Drosophila melanogaster: one gene and its partner. The protein of the gene in region 1 interacts with the protein of each later gene in a pairwise test. Each region holds a gene or a part of one and is shown in the gene's direction. Other genes may lie near its edges.

What was found.
Region 2: the proteins of CG4238 (region 1) and CG42369 interact in a two-hybrid assay, tested with the Drosophila melanogaster proteins (one large-scale study listed by BioGRID).

What each region holds. Positions count from the first base shown.
Region 1 is NT_033779.5:2,020,439-2,031,942, forward strand, and holds CG4238 (uncharacterized protein), read left to right. Parts: upstream 1-3,573; 5' UTR 3,574-3,604; coding exon 3,605-3,827; intron 3,828-6,329; coding exon 6,330-6,772; intron 6,773-6,840; coding exon 6,841-7,353; intron 7,354-7,413; coding exon 7,414-7,612; intron 7,613-7,674; coding exon 7,675-7,811; intron 7,812-7,864; coding exon 7,865-8,590; intron 8,591-8,653; coding exon 8,654-8,980; intron 8,981-9,055; coding exon 9,056-9,318; intron 9,319-9,397; coding exon 9,398-9,500; 3' UTR 9,501-10,350; downstream 10,351-11,504.
Region 2 is NT_033779.5:6,392,996-6,400,451, reverse strand, and holds CG42369 (uncharacterized protein), read left to right. Parts: upstream 1-3,202; 5' UTR 3,203-3,358; coding exon 3,359-4,564; 3' UTR 4,565-4,599; downstream 4,600-7,456. Other genes in the region: DIP-epsilon (Dpr-interacting protein epsilon), read left to right, coding at 5,509-5,615.

The sequences.
Region 1 (11,504 bases):
AAATGAAGAGTTGTTGCAGTGAAATTGGGCCAGATAAGTATGCAAAATGAACATCGCTGCTTGGAGATTGCCACTCAACTACAATATATTATTTTATTAAATAAGACACATTAATCGGGGCAAACAAATGCCATGCAATATTCTATAATTGCATAAATAAATGAAGCATTGGTCAACTAACATGTGCCTACCATTTTTAGCCTGGCTACTCTGTTATTGAAAATTTATCGCCAAGCAATTATTGTCGACATAAAGCAATTTAATGTGTTTTCATAAACCAATTCTAATGGCATTTCTGTGCCAGCACTGAATTGCATTTCACATCCCCGCGCTCAACTGCAATACTCCCACTCAATTATAAATCGATGGAATGCAAATTGCAGCTGCATCTCATGTCCGTACAATTTATTTCGAGAATTTATTCAGCCCCTCCCCCCACCCCCCTTCATGACATTCCTGAGTGTGAATAATGCCCCTGGCTGATGATTTGCCCCTTTCCTCCTGCGGTTTTCTAATGCAGCCAAAGCAGCCGCAGTGCCAAATGTGCGCCAGCATCCAGCATCTAGAATCCCTGCCACACGGAGTCCCATCGGCAGCAGCTGCTGTCGCCAAGGGGCACTCAAATTAAGCGACATTTAATGTCACACCTTCTTGGTGCAAAGGGGGGTATGGTTAGGGGCGGGTGGCATGCCCCCGTGTGCGAGTGAGCGGCGAACATCTGTTTGCCTTCAAAGTTGTGGCGTGCGGCTTGTGCGGGCTGCCCGAATGCAAAGGATACAAGTTTGCATTCTAGCCACAAAAATGTGAGGCGGTCAGGGGAAAGGGAAGTGCGGCGACTACAGGCGGCCGGGTGAGAGGAGATGAGACAAAGGTGAGCTATGTAGACAGGTGCAACAGCTGTGGCTTGTCGATGGCCTAAAGAGCTCCAAGTCAGAGCCTTTTCGCCTTTTGAAATGCACTCGAAAAGAACTTAGATAAAAGTGTTATTTTCTACCTGGCTAAAATCATGTTGATAGTTATACAAGCTTAGAAGTTACAAAGTAATCTACTTATGCATGTCTAATAACTCTTGGAATTTTCAAAAAGTAAAATATTTGCTCTGTATTCTCTTTTTCGTGTTCCTTTCGTGCCTTCCTTGCCTTTTCCTGCCTGGTTTTTCCTTATCGCCTGCCAACGAGGCAGTCATCTTGTCCGAGATTCTCGGCTGTGGCATCATTTGCAGGCAATTGCCAAGGCAACACCTTCCCCTTCAAACTGGGCCTTTTTTCCGAATGCCTGGCGTCTGGTGTGAGTGTTTAAAAATTTCATTGCAACGCTCATTTTGTCTGTCCAGGCTTAGGTAAACTGCAGCAGGCAAAGGGCAAGGGAACTATGTGATGATGGCTTCTTTTCCTGCACTTCCGCTGTCTGTGTCCATGTCACTTTTTCTGGCCCCGTCCTTTTGTCCTGTCTCCATTGCTGTCGCTCCCCGGAGGACGAGCCTCTGTACATCCGTGTGTTTGTGTCTAAATGTTTTTCCAAATAAATGAAATTGTTCTCTCTGTTTGGGAAGACTATAGTTTGTCTGGAGGGAGGCGAGATTTGAATTTGCCTAAGGCCTTTATGCTTCTTACTAGGCAGTGGACTAATAAGTGTCTTTCCATAGTTTAATTCTCTAATTTAAGTTTTCATAAGATATTTAGTTTGTTATTTACTCTAATTTCCTGTTTAAAGTCTGCCGTAATTAGACAAATTGAAGTTTAGCAGTGGAAAGTGTAACACATCCACGTCGTATTACCACATCCAACAGCATTTCTGTCGTATTTTGGCTACATATTTCGCCCAAATTGCGAGATTTATATTGAGAGTAGACGGAAAGGGAGGGGGAATCCTGCGAGGAAGGGGACCCTAAATGGGGAGAGGTGAGCACAGCTTGCTGTGAGGACACTTGGGAGCCAATACGGAGAAAATCAGAGCGAGTGAGAGAGAGGTGACTGTTGCCGTTTGTGTGCCTACACTGCGTATACGTAATTTGCCGAGTCTGTTGCCAAAGTGGCATTTGAATTTATGCCGCCACTTGAGGCAAGTGTGGCACGCCCAGCAGTGTGAGCGCTGCATTCGCATGCGCCTCCTTCCTACACTCGAGCATGAGTTTCTGCTGCAAAGCAGCAGCAGTGCGCTTTATTTTAAATTAAACATGCAAATATCCCTGGCACCCACATCCTTTGCTGCGACTGCTTGTTTTCTTGCTGGCTGTCTGCTGCAGACAGGCAACATAAATTATTGTAAGCAGATGAAATATTTGTGGATGAATTTGTTGCAGCTGTCGAGTGCAGCCAGCGCACATTCTCCGCTCGCCCAGCTTCACGATTGCCGCCTGAATATCTCCCCTCGAAACTTTAAGCTCCACTCGGTTGTGCAGCTTAAACAGAACAACAAAATGGGGAGCTAAATGAAAAATGTTCTACAGTACCTACCCCCTTCCCTCTTCGATTATTTTCTCGTGGAAAAACATTTGATTTAAAAATGAAAATAAATATAAAGCGAATTTCAGTTCATTGTAAGACTAGATGGTTTAAAAAAATGTGCACTTTCTACCTTTTTGTATATTAAGAAGAAATAGGAAAATATTTTTTGAGTGCACCCACAAAGGAGATGAAAAGCGTTGGGGGCGAAGGGGGGGTCGGGAACACACACACAGCACACAGGATGTCCTCGGTGGAAGATGAAGCTGGCAATTTTATCATTTTTCACTTTGGTAAACAAACATAAAAGGAGCAAGTGGGTTAAGGAAAATATTGCGGCTTTTGTTGTGGCAACCTTAATCGCCCGCTACCCCCCCTCCCCCCAACCGCTTAACGTCCCTGCCCTCCCTGCAGCCCCCGCGCCCCTCTGCGATCGAATGTCATTCAAATTGTAATTTCTGCAGCCTCCATCGTCGGAGAACAATCGATAAAAAAGGATAAAGCAAAGAGCACAACAATGGAGGGATAACAAAGGAGCAGGAGCACAAAAAGAGGGAAAACGATGGAAAAGCGGAGCATTCGGCGAGGAAAGCGGAGGAAAAGCGAGGGCAGACAGTCAAAAGCAAACAATAAACAGCGAAATCATTCCGTGCATCCCTCTGGAAAAGGTGGCATTGTGCAATAACAGCGCGTTTCAAAATTGTAAAATCAATTTCGTGAAGAATGATAAAGACACGTAACGTGTAACAAAAAAATGAGCTTACAATTTCATTTCCTAGTTGCCAAACCAACTTTGAAAATCTGTGCTCGTTAAATGGAATAGAAGGCATTACTAATTTATAAGCTGCTTTCTTTTGCAACAAATCCAAGAAAAAGAACCCTCCTCCCTATCCATTAAGCACTGTACTCCTCGCTGGGGACATTAAATTTTCTGGCCTTAAGCAGCCCTTGGCTAATAGGCCAAGTTGGCTCGTTTTGCAAACATTTGCCCAGCACTTTGGCGGCGCTTCGCCTGGGCCAACCTGCCATCCTTGGGCTAATGAGCGAACAAAAGAGTTTGGAGGCGGGCGAATCGCCACTCTTACGTGCAAATTCGATAGTCAGCAGGTCTATCTATGAGTTATTTGTCAAATTTAACACCAGCAACACAAGTAACAACAATGGGTCAGATGCATTGCTCACCCGAAGATGCCTCGCTCAGGTCCGATTTGGTCCTCATCCGCAGCTTTGTCGTCTATAAGGGACGTCCTCCAGATCATGCCACTCGCTTTGATATATCCATGCTAGTTAGCCACATCAACGTAGGTGGCGTCATGCATGCGGCCACGGGTGGCAAGACTTTTCCCACGCTCAAAGTAAAATTGTGCTTCGGTGAATCAATGGGTAAGAATTGCCATCGAGGCATTCTGTCTCTACTAAACCTCACTATTTAATTTTGAAATTGTTCAATGATGTTTTGTATATATGTGTAAATACAAATGTGTGTATTGCTCTCACTTTGTGCACATGCTTCAAATGAAATTATTCCACCCCATAAACTTAATTAATTATAGATGGCTATCAGCAGGCAGGACGACATGAAAACATCAAGCATACGCCTCGTTGCTCGTTTGGCATAAGTAATTGATTCGGCAAAGAAATAGACTTATTTATAATTCAATAATTCTAACCAAAAATATAATGAAAACAATCGACCGAATTTCCAGTGCCCAAGTGTGAATATTCTATTAGATGCTTAACTCGAGGCGAAATCTAAATCGATTTGCTCGGCGTTATGGAATTAGATCCAGCTCTAAGTTCTTTTAATTACTTTTATTTTGATGTCGTTAAGTAACTTTTGATAAGGGAATTATCTCTGTCTCTATTTTGTCCTTTCTGTGTGGGTGTTCGTGTTCACTTGGGGCGTTATCCACCTGCCATCCCACATCATTTCAGCTGCGACTGTCAAAAGTCGGCCTCATCAGTCATTGCTGCTCCGCCGCCGCCGTTTGCCCCTCGCAGCTTTCACTTGACATTTATCCTCATCATCATGCCCATCATCTGTATCAACATCATCATCATCACCATCCTGGCACGTCGCGCTTTAACCTTCGGAAGGCATTTTCATTTAGCCGCCTCTCCCCTCGGCTTTGTTTGTCAGCTCGCCACTTTGGTGACTTTCCCAGCTTTTCCGCCGTCACCCTGTCGCTGGTCCTTAATTAAAAACGATTAGTAATTCCTGTTCAGCCATCGGGCCAAAGGTCGTTTGCTGCAGCGCCATTAAATATGCAGTGGAAATACTTTAATTATACAAATAACCAGGAATTCTCGTAGCAGGACGCCAAAAAGGGCAAGCTCGTTTTCCGCAGAAAGTAACTTTTCATTGTGGGCACTTTGTGGGCCGTTCGGGCATTTTTCTGCCATCGAAATACGTACATATTCCTATCGCCTTGGCCAAATCAAACGGAAGTTGTTCGTTTCGCGCGAAATATGAACAAGTTAGGAATTCTGGACGTGTGTTGGCCAATGGGGGCTTTGGAAATACGAAAGAAATTGGTAACGAAATGAATTCGTTTTCGAATGTCAGGCACGCAAACTTTGCCTACCACCGACCTATACCCCCTCCTCGAATATTCTATTATTTGTACTTTTTCCGAGGGGGAGTGAGTGGGTCCTGCGGTGGCAGGACCACCACCACCCCCTTTCGGCCACAATTGGCCTGGGTTTCGTTTGCACGTTACTCGCTTTGCGGTCCTTCGTGGTCTGTACTTTTTTCGCACTCCTGCGGTCCCTGGCTTAGCTGGATTTTGTGGTCCGCTGTGGGAGCCGGGCTTAAGTGCATTTCACCGAGGTTAACTAGCCGGATGGTCTGACTTTCCTGGGGTTAATTTGGGCTTACCATCGGCAGAGATTCCCCATAAATACATTACCAATTTTTGGCACTGCCATTGCAGTCGGCATTAAGTCTTGTCTATGTCCCACCGAAATTATCTTTTGGGTTTTTTTTTAAGTTTTAATAATAGATTTTTAAACTGGAATGATTTTCTTCTGGGAAAATAGTCTTCTTTTCCGAAGGCATAAAGACATTGGAAAATTGGTTCGTGCTTTTCGTGAAAATTTAACTATAATTTCTCTTTGCTTCAAGACATTTGAACTTAGTTTTCCCCTTCGAAGTTACTTAGCATATTAAATGCAACAACTGTGTTTTTCTCGATTTTCTCACCTCCTTGAAGTTTTCCGCTTTGTTTCTGTCACCGACTTACATTTTTACATGGTGAAAAGTCAAAGCTACAGCAACAACTGAACTGCAATAATGCCAAATGAAAGTTTTTCGCCGAATTGAGATTGGGGGGAGCAGCAGGAGTCTCGTAACTACAGGGTTAAGCTTTCAAGGAATCGGTTGGGGGGTGGAGAAAAGGTCCTGACGTGACAGTGGGGAACCTCTTGTTTTCGATTTCAGCCGGCGATAAGCGACAAACAACGCATTAAGTGTCGTTTCCCTGGCTATTTTCGGTTTGGCATTGGGTTAAGTCATAAAAAATTGAAACGTAATTGATTGGAAGTTTGTTGAGGGCGCACTAAAATGGGTGGAATGGAATAAAATGGGCATTGACGTAGTCGCCTGGCCAAATTAGTTGTCCTGTAATTTTAGGCACCATCGGAAGTCGTTGAGCCCAGAGTTATAGCGACGGATGGAGGCTCGACGTTGATGGCGACATTGGCAAACAGTTGACATGACGGCAAAGTTGCCGAAACTTTAACCATTAAACTCAATTACCAGAAAAGTTGGTGGCCCGCTATTTGTAAGGCGCTCCATTCCCCTCATTGCCGAACTATACAGTTAAAAATTGCAATTATAAGCCTTATGTAATACGTCATACTTTCCATACTTTCCGCTCACTTTAGGAATCTCCTCCTTGTCGAGCTGCGGCGATCCGGAGCGTCTGCCTGAGCTGCCCCCCCTGGACGAGCAGCGTCTTCAGCGGGCCGCATTGCATCTGCAGCAAAAGCTGATCCTGCGCGAGTGGCTAAAGGATCACCGGCTGCAGCATCACTACCAACGGCTGCTGGCCGTGGAGGTCGCCTCGCTGGAGGACGTCTACTGGCTGGAGGACTCACGGGCCAGCAAGATCCTCGGCAAGGACTGGCAGCTTTGGTCGGGAGCACGGCAGAACCTGCCCACGTCCAAGGCCCAATTGGACGCCCTGAAGGCGCAGCTCTGGTCGACTGTGGTCAAGAGCAGCCAGCATCAGGACGCATGGACATGGGGCGGCATGCTGGTCGTATCCGTCTCAGTCGCCGGCCTCGTCACCCTGGCTGCCATGACGCAGCCTTCATTGGCCCCAGAGGTAAACGCCAGAGGATTTTAAATACCGATTGGGTTACGGATTGTTCACTACATCATTTTTACTCGTAGGCCCGCCATTCCCTGCTGCAATATGTCACCGGAAAGTATCTGCTGCCTGCCAATTGCAAGGTGCAGTGGGACTGGAAGGATCCCGCCAGCGTGGGCGGCACCATGTGCTTCGTGGTGCGCTTCTTCCAGCGCAACGGCCAGCCATATCCCATCTGTGATACGGACCACTTCTTTGTCGAGGTCACCGAGGGCACTCGCAAGGTGGTCACCATTAGCGAGCTGGGCTCCTCCACCGATCCCAACAACGCCAACATCGCCAAGGTCAAGTTCACGGTTCGCACTGCGGGCCAGTACAAGATATCCGTGCTGATTGGCGCCAGCCACATCGCCGGATCGCCCTTTCTGCGATCCTTCCTGCCAGGAGCCATCGATGCCAGGCGCTCCAGGTTCATCAGGCCCGCCAGCACGGTCATCTGCTGCGCAGGTGCACCCACTTTGATGCACATCGAGCCACGGGATGAGTTCGGCAACTCCTGTCTGTTCGACCAGAATCAATCGGATGAGGCGCTGCAGGTACAGGATGTTCATTTTCCTTAGAACGCTTTTAGCTAACTTTTTTGGGTAACTTTGCAGGGCTACCAAGTGGCAATATACGACCTGCATGGAGTTCCAGTGGAGAAACTGCAGCATGCGATTGTCTTCGCCTACGACAAGGTCAACTCCCGAGTCTCGGTGACTGCTCTGTTTCCGGAACCGACTTGTCTACGGGCAGTGATCAGCTACCGGGATCAGCAGCTGCCCAACGGCGACTTCGACATCATTGTGTTGAGCAGTAAGTGTGGGGATCTTTACAGGCTCTTTACAGGGAGTAAATAAATTTGTAACCCCTCCCAGGCAGCGACACCACCTTGGTGCACAAGAACATAGCCTCCCGGAAGCACAACATCTGCTACGAGGCCAAACTGCTGAGTATTTTCGGTGTGTCCAAGAACAAGCCGAGGAAGGTGCTCTGCTATGTGGGACCCAAACAGGTGAGTGGTTATCTGGGCAGCACGTTGACATCGGGTGAAATGTGAGGGCTCAGAACTCGCTGATCTTCCAGGTGACCATCAAGGAGATGATCCTCAAGTTCATCCCCAAGAGGATTGCCACATTCCGGCTGTGTCCCTCGACCAAGTTCCATTTCCTGCCGCAGTTGGTGTCCCAGCTGCACGGCCCTGTTTTCATCATAGACGACGGAGCCCAACCCAAGATTGAGTTGGCCTCCAAGGATCGGAATATCATAGCTGCCACCTTCACCCATTTTCTGCTGAAGAACATTGGTGGATCGGAGACCTTCAAGGACAAGCAGGACTTCTTTTACCACGAGGTTCGCAAATTCCATGCCAGCTACTATCACGAGAAGATGGCCCTGAAAGTGCAGCGCGAGAAGATCCTGGAGAGCAGCATGAAGGCCGTCAAGGGCTTCTCGGTGTCCGACTGGTGTGGCAACTTCGAGGTCACCTTCCAGGGTGAACAGGGCATCGACTGGGGAGGTTTGCGGAGGGAGTGGTTTGAGCTGGTCTGCAGTGCACTCTTCGACGCCCGCGGAGGTCTCTTCTGCACCTTCCACGACAAGCACCAGGCGCTGGTCCATCCGAATCCCACCCGTCCAGCCCATCTGAAGCTGAAGCACTTTGAATTCGCCGGCAAGATGGTGGGAAAGTGTCTGTTTGAGAGCGCCCTGGGCGGCACCTATCGTCAGCTGGTCAGAGCCAGATTCAGTCGCTCTTTTCTGGCTCAACTTATTGGTCTGAGGGTGCATTACAAGGTTAGTCGGCAAAAACGAGATAATTAATCATGTTCCTATCTAAATTCGTTCCTTACCTACCAGTACTTCGAACAGGACGATCCCGACTTGTACCTGTCCAAGATCAAGTACATTCTGGACACCGATCTGGATGCCACGGACACGCTGGAGCTGTACTTCGTGGAGGAGATGTACGACTCCAGTAGTGGACAGCTGAGCAAGACCATCGAACTGATACCCAACGGGGCCAAGACGCGGGTGACCAATGCCACCAAGAACCAGTACCTGGATGCCCTGGCTCAGCAGCGTCTGTGCAACAACGTCAAGGATGAAGTGGATAGCTTCCTGAAGGGTCTAAATTCCATTATACCGGATAACCTTCTCAGCATTTTCGATGAAAACGAACTGGAGGTGAGTGTTATTATAAACTTTTATAATTAGCTAATTTAATTTCACAGCGCTAAATAAACATTTTCTCGTGTGCAGCTGCTGATGTGCGGAACTGGGGAATACTCCATCAGCGACTTTAAGGCGCACCACATCGCCAACGGCAATTCGGCTGAGTTTCGGCGGGTTTTGGCCTGGTTTTGGGCCGGAGTGAGCAACTTCAGCCAGACGGAGATGGCCCGCCTGCTGCAGTTCACCACGGGATGCTCCCAGCTGCCGCCCGGGGGATTCCAGGAGCTAAATCCGCAGTTCCAGATAACGGCGGCTCCGACCTTTGGCAACCTGCCCACGGCGCACACCTGGTGGGTGAACTTTATCCATCGTCTATTATTTGCCTTTAATCTCGGCGTTCTCTAAAAAACGAAACTTTTTCGATTGCAGTTTCAACCAGCTGTGTTTGCCCGACTACGAGAGCTACGAGCAGTTCGAGAAGTCGCTGCTTTTGGCCATCAGCGAGGGCAGCGAGGGATTCGGCATGGTCTAGATATATAGGATAATGGAGAGTAGAGGAGGGGGGTGGCTATAGCCATCGGTTTTTGTCTGCTACGCTACTGTGTTCCTTTCTGTGCGCTTTATATGTCATGCTAGCAACTAAGTGAACTAGTCCGTAAGCCTGCCTAGTGATAATTGCAATTAAATTCAGTCCCTGGCTAGGTATATTATTATCCCTCGGCTGATGATCCCTTAAGCAATAATAATCACGGATTAGCCGGCGTAGCGTGTGTAGTCATAGTCGAGTCAAGATGCAAATTAAAACCGAATATATATCATCATCAAAAGGAATGTGATACTTGTATAATAGACTAATGCAACCTAAGCGTTATGGGAATCTTTTAAACTACCTATCGGTAATTCAAATAAGTAGCCATAATTCCGAAAACTACTCTAATTAACTGTTAGTTGCGCTGTGTAAAGAGACCCCCGAGAAACCCAAGCTGGTGGCAAACCAAGAGTTTGTAGCATACTGAACTAAGAACTAATTGTAATCGTTATATTGTCAAAACATTCACAATGAGCAATGTTTATATGCATTTCTTCTATCGAAAATCCAAATATATTAGGCCAAATTCTGGTCCAACTCGAATACAATCCCAAATCCTTCTCCCTCGCTGTGCTCTCCTAAAAGCAATATGTGGAAGCAAATGTTGAAACGTAGTTTTTAAATGTTGTTGATTCGCAAAGCAAAAATCAAAGAAGTCATACTAATTAAAATTTAGTAAATGTAATGGAATTGTAGTTGTTGAGGGAACTCTAAAAGCTTATATATCAATCGGTTGGCGGAGGGTTGATTCAAATGGTTAAAAGTAATAAAAATCTACTGTTTAGAACGGAAGTGCTGGTGTTTTATTGGCGTACGGCTCACATAAAAGACATGGTAAGATGTTTTTTATTTTTACTTTTTCATTACGCATTATAAAATGCACTTCCACTTATGCACTTATATAAGTTGTATACTTCTTCATGGTAAATTGTACCTGTTGATATTAAATACCATAGAAACCGGTGTCATAAGAGTCGAACCACTTTCTTTTCAAGGTCTCCAGAGGTCACCTGAACAAACGCGACTTTAAGGAAAGCCAATAAACTCAAAGAGGGTTACGCAAGTCCCCTTGGAGAAGCTTATCTTCTATGAACTGTACTTCAGTCCAAAGTCTCTTATGACCAGATATATGCAGTGAGAGTTTGGCGGAGCGTGAGTGTCAAATTACGGGGTACCACCAATCAACATTTTGTAGCCATCAAACGCGTGCTCATCCAGTCAAGTGTGCGTTTGCATTTAAACAATTATTAGCAACTAATTAGAGTATGGATAACACGAAAGGGCCTGAGTGCGGTAGAAGGAGAAAGTGGATTGTACCTAGAAGTGCCCACTCGAACTGTCACTTTCTAGAGGAGCACACGCGTCAAAATCCAAATCTCTCCGGGCAGGGTCAAATGCAGCATCTTCGTGGGTTGTTGGGTAATGTCTCTCGGGAGGCAAAGATGAAAGTGAGATTCAAGAATCAGAAGAAAGTCTAGAAAAATAAGTCTCCGACCCGCGGGTTAAGCTTGAGGTTAGTTTTTGTCAGCTTTTTACTCACTTCTAAACTTTAGGGATTAATAGTTAAAGTTAAGTGATACGTTGGAGCCAATACTAATATATACATAGAATCTATTTTTAAACACAGCCAACATGTGTGAAAAGTGATCAGTTCACCAACATACCACATACATACGATTTGACACGCAATGGATAAGCATCGGTGGTTCAGTGGTAGAATGCTCGCCTGCCACGCGGGCGGCCCGGGTTCGATTCCCGGCCGATGCAACGTTTTTTTTTTTTACAATTAACTAAATACCTAACAACAATATTAAATTTTCATGTTATTTTTATAAGGTTCGCGTAAATCACATTTATTAATACTTGCAAATTTGTAGCACTGTTAACCAGTGTGAACTCGGTACATTTGCTCTCATTTTTAATGCTACTCTTTTGAGTTCATAACTA
Region 2 (7,456 bases), 4.4 Mb from region 1:
AAATCGAAAACCAACCAATGGTGCGAATTGCCATTAATAAATCGACCTTAATTTACTTCTATAGTTGGATGATTTGGTCATCCAAAAATGTTTAGCATATGTGCAGGACTAAGCAAACAGCAAGGACATTGCCCATTAGCCGTTCTAATGCTACTTAGGCCCTATAATTATTATCGAGTACACACAGACCAATCAATTCAGTGTGGGTATGGTGTGCGGCACAAAGTGCATAATTAAGAGAAGGTCCTGCGAGGCTGGCCTGTTTGCATTCGTCCTGTTTCCAGAGTCCTTGCTGTCGAATGGCAGTCGGGACCACACCGTCTGCTCTTGTTTTTGTTGTTGTTGGTTCTTGGTTAATAGAGCAGTACTTAGTGCCTGATGGAGTCCGATGGCAGGGGCTCATTCTACGGCGCCCCAGAATGGCTTGGGGCTACTTAAACTTTTGCATTTGTGTGAAGGTGAATCTCTGTCTGCAAGGCAGTTATGCGCATTTCTGCATGAGTAGCTCCTGACTTTGCTTACCAATAGTGTGTGTGTATGCACAAATACGAGTGTAGGCTTGCTCTTACCTTCTACTCCACTCTATTATTCAACGAATGCAGCATACCCTTTTATTGCCAATACGATGTAAGCATGCGACATTGATCATAGTTAAGGGTTGTACATACATAGACAAATATTGGGACTAGCGTGTTGTGTGTATTGCTGTGCAACTTTTGCTTGCTTGGCTTGGCAGTTACTTACACCCTGTTTATATAGTCCACTTTTGAAATTCACCTCTTTCTTGGCTGCATACGAACCAACATGCCTAAACATCATGTGTGACGACAAAAACAACAGAAGCGGCTTTAAGAACACACATACCTATGTCACTCATTCACCCAGTCAAACTGTCAGTGCTCCATTCAATCTTTGTTGTTTGTGCTCTTGCCTGCAATTGGCAGTCGGGGCAGAATTACATTTGCTTGATTGAACTTACCCCGTGCCCCAAGACTCCTTGTCCTTATAAGCTTTTCCCCGCTTTTCTCGGACTCTACACTGCTTGGACTGCAAACGTACGGCAGACTAGAGGAGACCTCAGATGCGGAACAATGCAGCCTCTAACCGAGATGCAGCAGCCATGTCAGATACTAAGATACTTGCTCCTTTTACCTGGTCGACATGTCTCTAAATGTATTAACACTATTAACCTCCATGGGTTTGATGGAGTGCCTCCTTCGGTTTAATGCTACAGACAAACTTATTTTTTCCATAAAGCTTAAAGTTCGCACTTTTGAGATAGAAAATGCACAGTTGATAAATATATGTATGTGCGATGCTCTATATTGGCCCCTCAAGCATTTACTTAATCTGTCAAGTTGAGTAAACAATGAAGCAAAATAGAAGGACAGATAAATACACTGAGATAATTTTATGACAATATCTTCGATTTAAATGGAAATCATGAAATCTTGCATTAAGTACTTTTCGCATTTGTATTTACTTTGGGAATTCTGATCCCAAGTAATGTAGCTGAAAGAACTTAAAATTCTCTTATACAGATGACTGTCCAACATCTTTATTGGATATAGATGTGTGCATACCCAATGCCTCTAGGAGTACAGGGTATTTATTCATATAAAAGAGCACAACTTAGAATGTAACTTAGAATGATGCTCGGTCAACGCGCGGGATGAGCGATAAAATCAAAGCACAGTATAACCAAAACAATTGTTCAAAAAGAAGAGCAATTTTTTCGGACAATGAAGAAAGCGCATAAGAAGTGTTTTGAAAAAAACAAAAGTTTAACTCCTTTAAAATCATTAAAACGCTTTTAGCGCTTTTCACGCCCCTGGCCAGCGAGAATTTCCACCCGTCTGGCAAAGCGCTGGAAAGTTTAGTTTCGGCTTTGTTACCGAAAAAACAGAAAGACAAAAAAAAAAAAAAGGAAAACTGTCGGCGATGATGGAAAAAGTGGCAAAGTTTTTCTCAAAGGCATCACTGGCGAAGTATAAGAATAAAATGACCGACCATGAGTGACCGGAGCAAAGCTCTATGGGCTAGTAGATACCCTAACCAGATGACTTTCTTGCGAATAGATTTTGTCACTTAAGTGCCAGCAATGTGGAGGGCAGCCGTTCCTCCAGCCATGACTCCTTGGCTTTCGTCCTCCAGAAATCCTTTGTCCTTGGCCACAGTTTGAATCAAAGTGTCTTGGTCGTTCGCCATTGAAGCGAATGCGTAGCCCATGCCAATTGTGCAATTGTTGGAAAATTTCTTCTTCAGGTTTTTGGTATCTTTTATTTTTTCTTACATTTTTTTTTTTCCTAAAAACTTTATCGGTGTGCCTTTCATTTTTTCTTAACCATTTTTCCCCATTTTTACGCTCTTTGCCAAACCGTTTCCATAGTTTTTTTTTGCGTTTTGGGTTTCGTCTTAAAAGGTGTTGGCCATTATGCGGTTGCAGATACCCTTTGATCGAATATTAAAGGCTAATGCACAGAAATGTTCGAACGAAATCGAAATCAAGTGTTTTCGCTAAAAGTTGGCAAAGGGGAAGTGGCATGAGTTCAATCAATTTGACGAACTTCAATCAAGCTGCGCCATAGAATGAAGAACGACGAGCATCGCTGATTTGGAATCCATGTGGATTCATGCCACATCCCATTTGGGATTCCGCTGAAGTTCTGTCGTCAAATGGCAGCAGTCTGCAGTCTGCAACTTTAAGCTAACTTGTGATAGGTATCCCGCACACGCGCTCAGTTTGAGTTCGGTCAACAATTGCCCGCACAGACAAATTGGGAAGGAGCGCTGACTATTTGATACATTGTAGGGACCAATGTCCTGGCCATTTGCAGTTGCACGGGCACCAGGTTACAGCGAATCGATTCCCTCATTCAATCCTATCCCGATTCACCAGTCAGTTGTTGCCACTAATGCCCTTTCGACGAACAATAGTTGTCGAAATGGGGAAAGGATAAAAATGCATTACCTTCAAATAAAAAGTTATGTATTAAATTGTGCTGGTTTCTGACAGAGGAATTGTAATCAGCGCTGAACTCTTTCCTTTCTTATTTTCGCTGTCCTTAATTTGCGTTCGATTATTAGCAGAAAATAAAATATAATATAATTTGCACGAATTGGATTACCCATTATTTCTCTCAGTGCCAGCTCCGTAGCGATAAGGCTGTCGAACTGAGCGCAGTTCGCTTTCGCACTGGTTAATCGTCAGTGGTCGGCTTGGCATATCAGACGAACTAACCGCATCACCGACTTGACTACTGACCCCAATCTAAGCCCCTTCGTCTAATCAGCCAACTGGCGGCGACAACAACGCAGTTTCTGCAATCAAAATCAGTTGGAGCCAGCTCCCTCTAAGATGATGATCGAGTGGTGGCTGCCATGGGTGTGCCTCTTGCCGCTCATGCAGGCGGATCCTGTTGCTCCCCAGCTGGATCTTGGTGTGAAGGACTTCCAGCTGGAGCTTCTGCGCGAGTTAAGCGACCTGGTGCAACAGCGGATTGAACCGAGTCTCAACGACTACCTGGATCGTCTAGGACGCATTCCTCGGAATGCCAACTACACCGAAGAGATGAGTGCAGCTCGCGCAACACCAAAGCTTCAATTGAAGGTGACGCTCATCAAGCAGCTGCTCGACGTGCGTCCGCACCTGGACACGGATATGGAGTACACCATTGTGCTGCGCAACCTGGTCTTTCTGAACCGAGTCAGATCCACGCTGAGGGCTGCCGAGGAGACTAGCACACAAGAGATCCGAATGATGCGCATGCACCGCCTCTGCCAGCAACTTGACCGACCGGCTCCTCATCGCGGCAGTCGCCTGATCAACGAACAGACAGTCGGGGCGGCATTGGGGCAACTCAATCTGACCAAAAAGGAGGTGAACTCCACCGGCTTGGATCTCAATGAGTTCGGGGCGCAGCTGTACGAGCGGGTCAAGTTATCCGGCGCCGAAATCATCGACAACTACCTGCACATACTGCGTTCCCTGCTGCAGGACATCATCGACGGTGACCATGCTGATCTGGCCGGGAGCAGTGCCAAGCTGGACAAGATGCAGCAGCAGCTGGACGTCATGCTTGCCACGGAGGACTTCTTCGAGAAACGTCAACGGGTGTATGCGTACCTGGAGCACCACTTGCGCACCGATTACGAGGAGATGCGGGACACATCGAGCAGCGAGCACATCACCGAACATCTTCTCGCCCAGCTGAAGACCAAGGGACTGGACCTGTTCGTCATCTTTCTTTTTAGCAATTTTGAATTCCTAGACCTGGTGCACGAGCACTGGGAGCAGCTGTTGCCACAGTCACCCAGTTTGCTATACGACGAGACCGCACGCCAATTGTACGATCTGCAGCAGCTGTATCAGGTCTTCAAGCTGGACACGGAGTGCGAGGCCAAGTACACGGCCTACTCGGACGCACTGCGTCGCTTGCACGAGCGGACCGTGGAGCAGGGTCAGCGCAACCGGCACATCTTTGAGCTGCTCCACAACGCGGCACAAAGCGTCGGCACGGTTACCTTCAACATGATCCGGGCCAAGTGCAATGAGCTAAGATGAGATGACATTTATAATAAAACCAAACTTTGCTACTTAAATGATGAGAGTTGCGTGCTTTTGGCTATATAGTTCCACATACTAATATCTTATATTGAAGACATCGCCTGTGCTGCAATTGACAGCGTTTGAAAGGACAAGTTTCACAACATAATTACATTTTGCCAGTTCCTGCGGTTGTCGCCTGCTTTTAATATCCGTCTGCCGCATCTGATTTCGCTTAAGTATCGTCCAGGAACACCTTTCCACATCTTCGGGGTGAGCGGACAGCAACTTCCTTTTGCCGCATTATGCAGATGTTGCCGTTAGTGTTGCTTCTCCTGGTGTTGCCACTGCTCGTTGTTTATCAGATGCTGCCAGGGCTCTAAGGATTCAACTCTTGCTCCTGCTTCAGCTCCAGCTGAAGCTGCAGCATCATGGCTCCCTTGTGGTACCGATGGGCCTTCAGACTAATGACTGCTGCTGCCGCTGTCGTTGGCCAAAGCCAGCTAATTAATTGTCGTCGTTGCAGGTGATTAGAACTTAAATGAGTTGCCGGTGCAGCAGAAGTTTCCGTGGCACAGTTAGCCGTCAAAAAAAGGACGACATGGTGGTATAGCCATCCCGAATAGCAGACATGGTGGTTGCTATGTTATGCAGCTGTTCTGTGGTCATACGATAGCTTTTATATGACAAAATCAAGTGCGAAAGTTGATATTCTTTTATTATTTAGAACACAGTGTCAAGTTCAATTTGCTTCTGTAAAAGGCAAAAAATTATCTGATATATGTTGTTACAAAAGGCAGACTTTTGCATGTGTGAAAAAAGAATTCTTTAAATTCTCACTACAATAATGATAACTCTTCTCAAGAAAGGATGAGAAGTTGGGGTTTTTATGAATATATACATTTTTATGTTGATATTTATTATTACTTATTAAAATATTTATTTTTTTTTACTATTCGCAGTCATCAGCGAAGATCCCGAGTTCACGGATGTGATCGAAAATATTACAGTGCCTGCGGGGCGTAATGTAAAACTGGCTTGTTCAGTCAAGAACCTGGGATCCTATAAGGTAAGACTAAACAAAGAATTTTCGAGATTTATAATTTATATAAACTTAAGTAAAAAACGTAGTATTTGGCTTTGCAAACCAAAATCCAAAAGCTGAAGTTTCTGGCCGAGCAGGAATGAAGTCAACTTTCGGAACGACTTTTGGTTTGCGCTTAAATAAATGCTCCACCGTCAATCGATTGAAGTGGTTGATGCGGGTGTGGGGTTAATGCCAACTGGACACTACTCCAACCAACTGATCAATATTCATTGTGCGGTGCACACTTTTGGGCGGCGCTCGGCGTGCCTAGAAGAATCCATCGCATCGCATCGCATCGAAACGCTCTGTCTTGTGGCTCAGGCGACAATTTAAATTTGCATCCAATTGAATTTCCATAATGTGCGTGCGACCAAAACGTGCATAAATTTCATTCTCGACTTTCGCCTCGACACTCGGCTTGTAATAATTTTTATGTCTCTTAAGTTCGGCATGTGCGACCCGCGACCATCATCATCCATAGCCACCCTTAGCCACCCATAGCCACCTATAACCACCCATAACCAACCATTACCGCCCAAACTACGCCCGCCTCCGCCCAGCCATTCATCTCCAGGTGCTATCCTCATTGGCCTCAGGTAAGCTCAAAAGTTAACCAGCGAGGACCGCTTGTAGCTGCAATAAAACGTGACTTTGCATGCAAAATAGTTGCCTAGCGAGTGGGTGGCTGGGCCACCCATTTCGCCCATCGCAGCCGCACATTGGCTTTAGCACAAACAGACAGGTTGCCGGGAATTGATTTTAAAGCCCTCGGCGGGTATAACCACTTTTCCAACAAACTGGCCACTCGACAAAAGAACATGTATTAAAAGCAAACAAGCAGTTTAATGTTCCAATGAAAGTTGTAAATCGATGTACTGAAAAAATAGCTGGGGTACAAGTGGTTTTGGAAATAATTCAGATTTACAGCAAAGGAAATACTTATATCAAGTTATAGTTATAAATATTTATAATTTTTTTGGGCTACTAACTGTGCACTATGAAAATATGCTGTCTTGTAATTAAACTTTATATAAATACACTGAAATATTTCATATATTTTAATTAATATTTGGCAAGCATATCACATAGGGCATACGCAATTCGTTATGCTTTGTGTTTCAAAACTTTCAGTACTTCTTGTGCTTCCAAATATTTGAGCTGCGTGGAAATTAACTCGCGTAGTTCATAAGCGCTTTTTTCACACGTTTACTCGCAAATTGTTAATGTCGAGCGAGTAGGTTTTTATTAGCTGAAGCCCTTTAGCTACCCGTTTTGCCCATTTTCCACATTTTCCCGCAGCACTCCGTATTGTCCTTGTTTGCATTTCAATTTTAAACGCCTACACAAACAGTCGAAAAACTCGCACACATAGCCGAACGAACTAACAACAATGCCAGTAACATGAGCATAAGTTTACTTTGTTTATGTTGTTGCTTGGCCCCACTTCCAACCCGATACGCCCACTCCGCCCCCACAGAACATAAACATTTTCAGGCATAATAAAGTTTGTTTATTTTTGCTTCGGCTACAAGTTTTTCAACTTGTTTTCTTTTTTAGTTTTTACTTAAAATTTTATGACTTCATTTAGTATTTTCTATGGCAGGCGTCGTCGGCTAGCGGCGAGGAATTTTGTGCGGGGGATTGCGTTGGTTCTGGCAAGAGTTGTGCCATTACGCAAATTGCAAATTGGTCATTTTGTTTGTCGGCTTCTATCGAATCGAGCCATCAGCATGTGTCTGAGACAAGTGAAAGCTTCTGCTCCATGAAAATGAAAATGAAGATAAACACAAAAGAGCTTGCAGCCTTTTCCAAATAAAAAAACT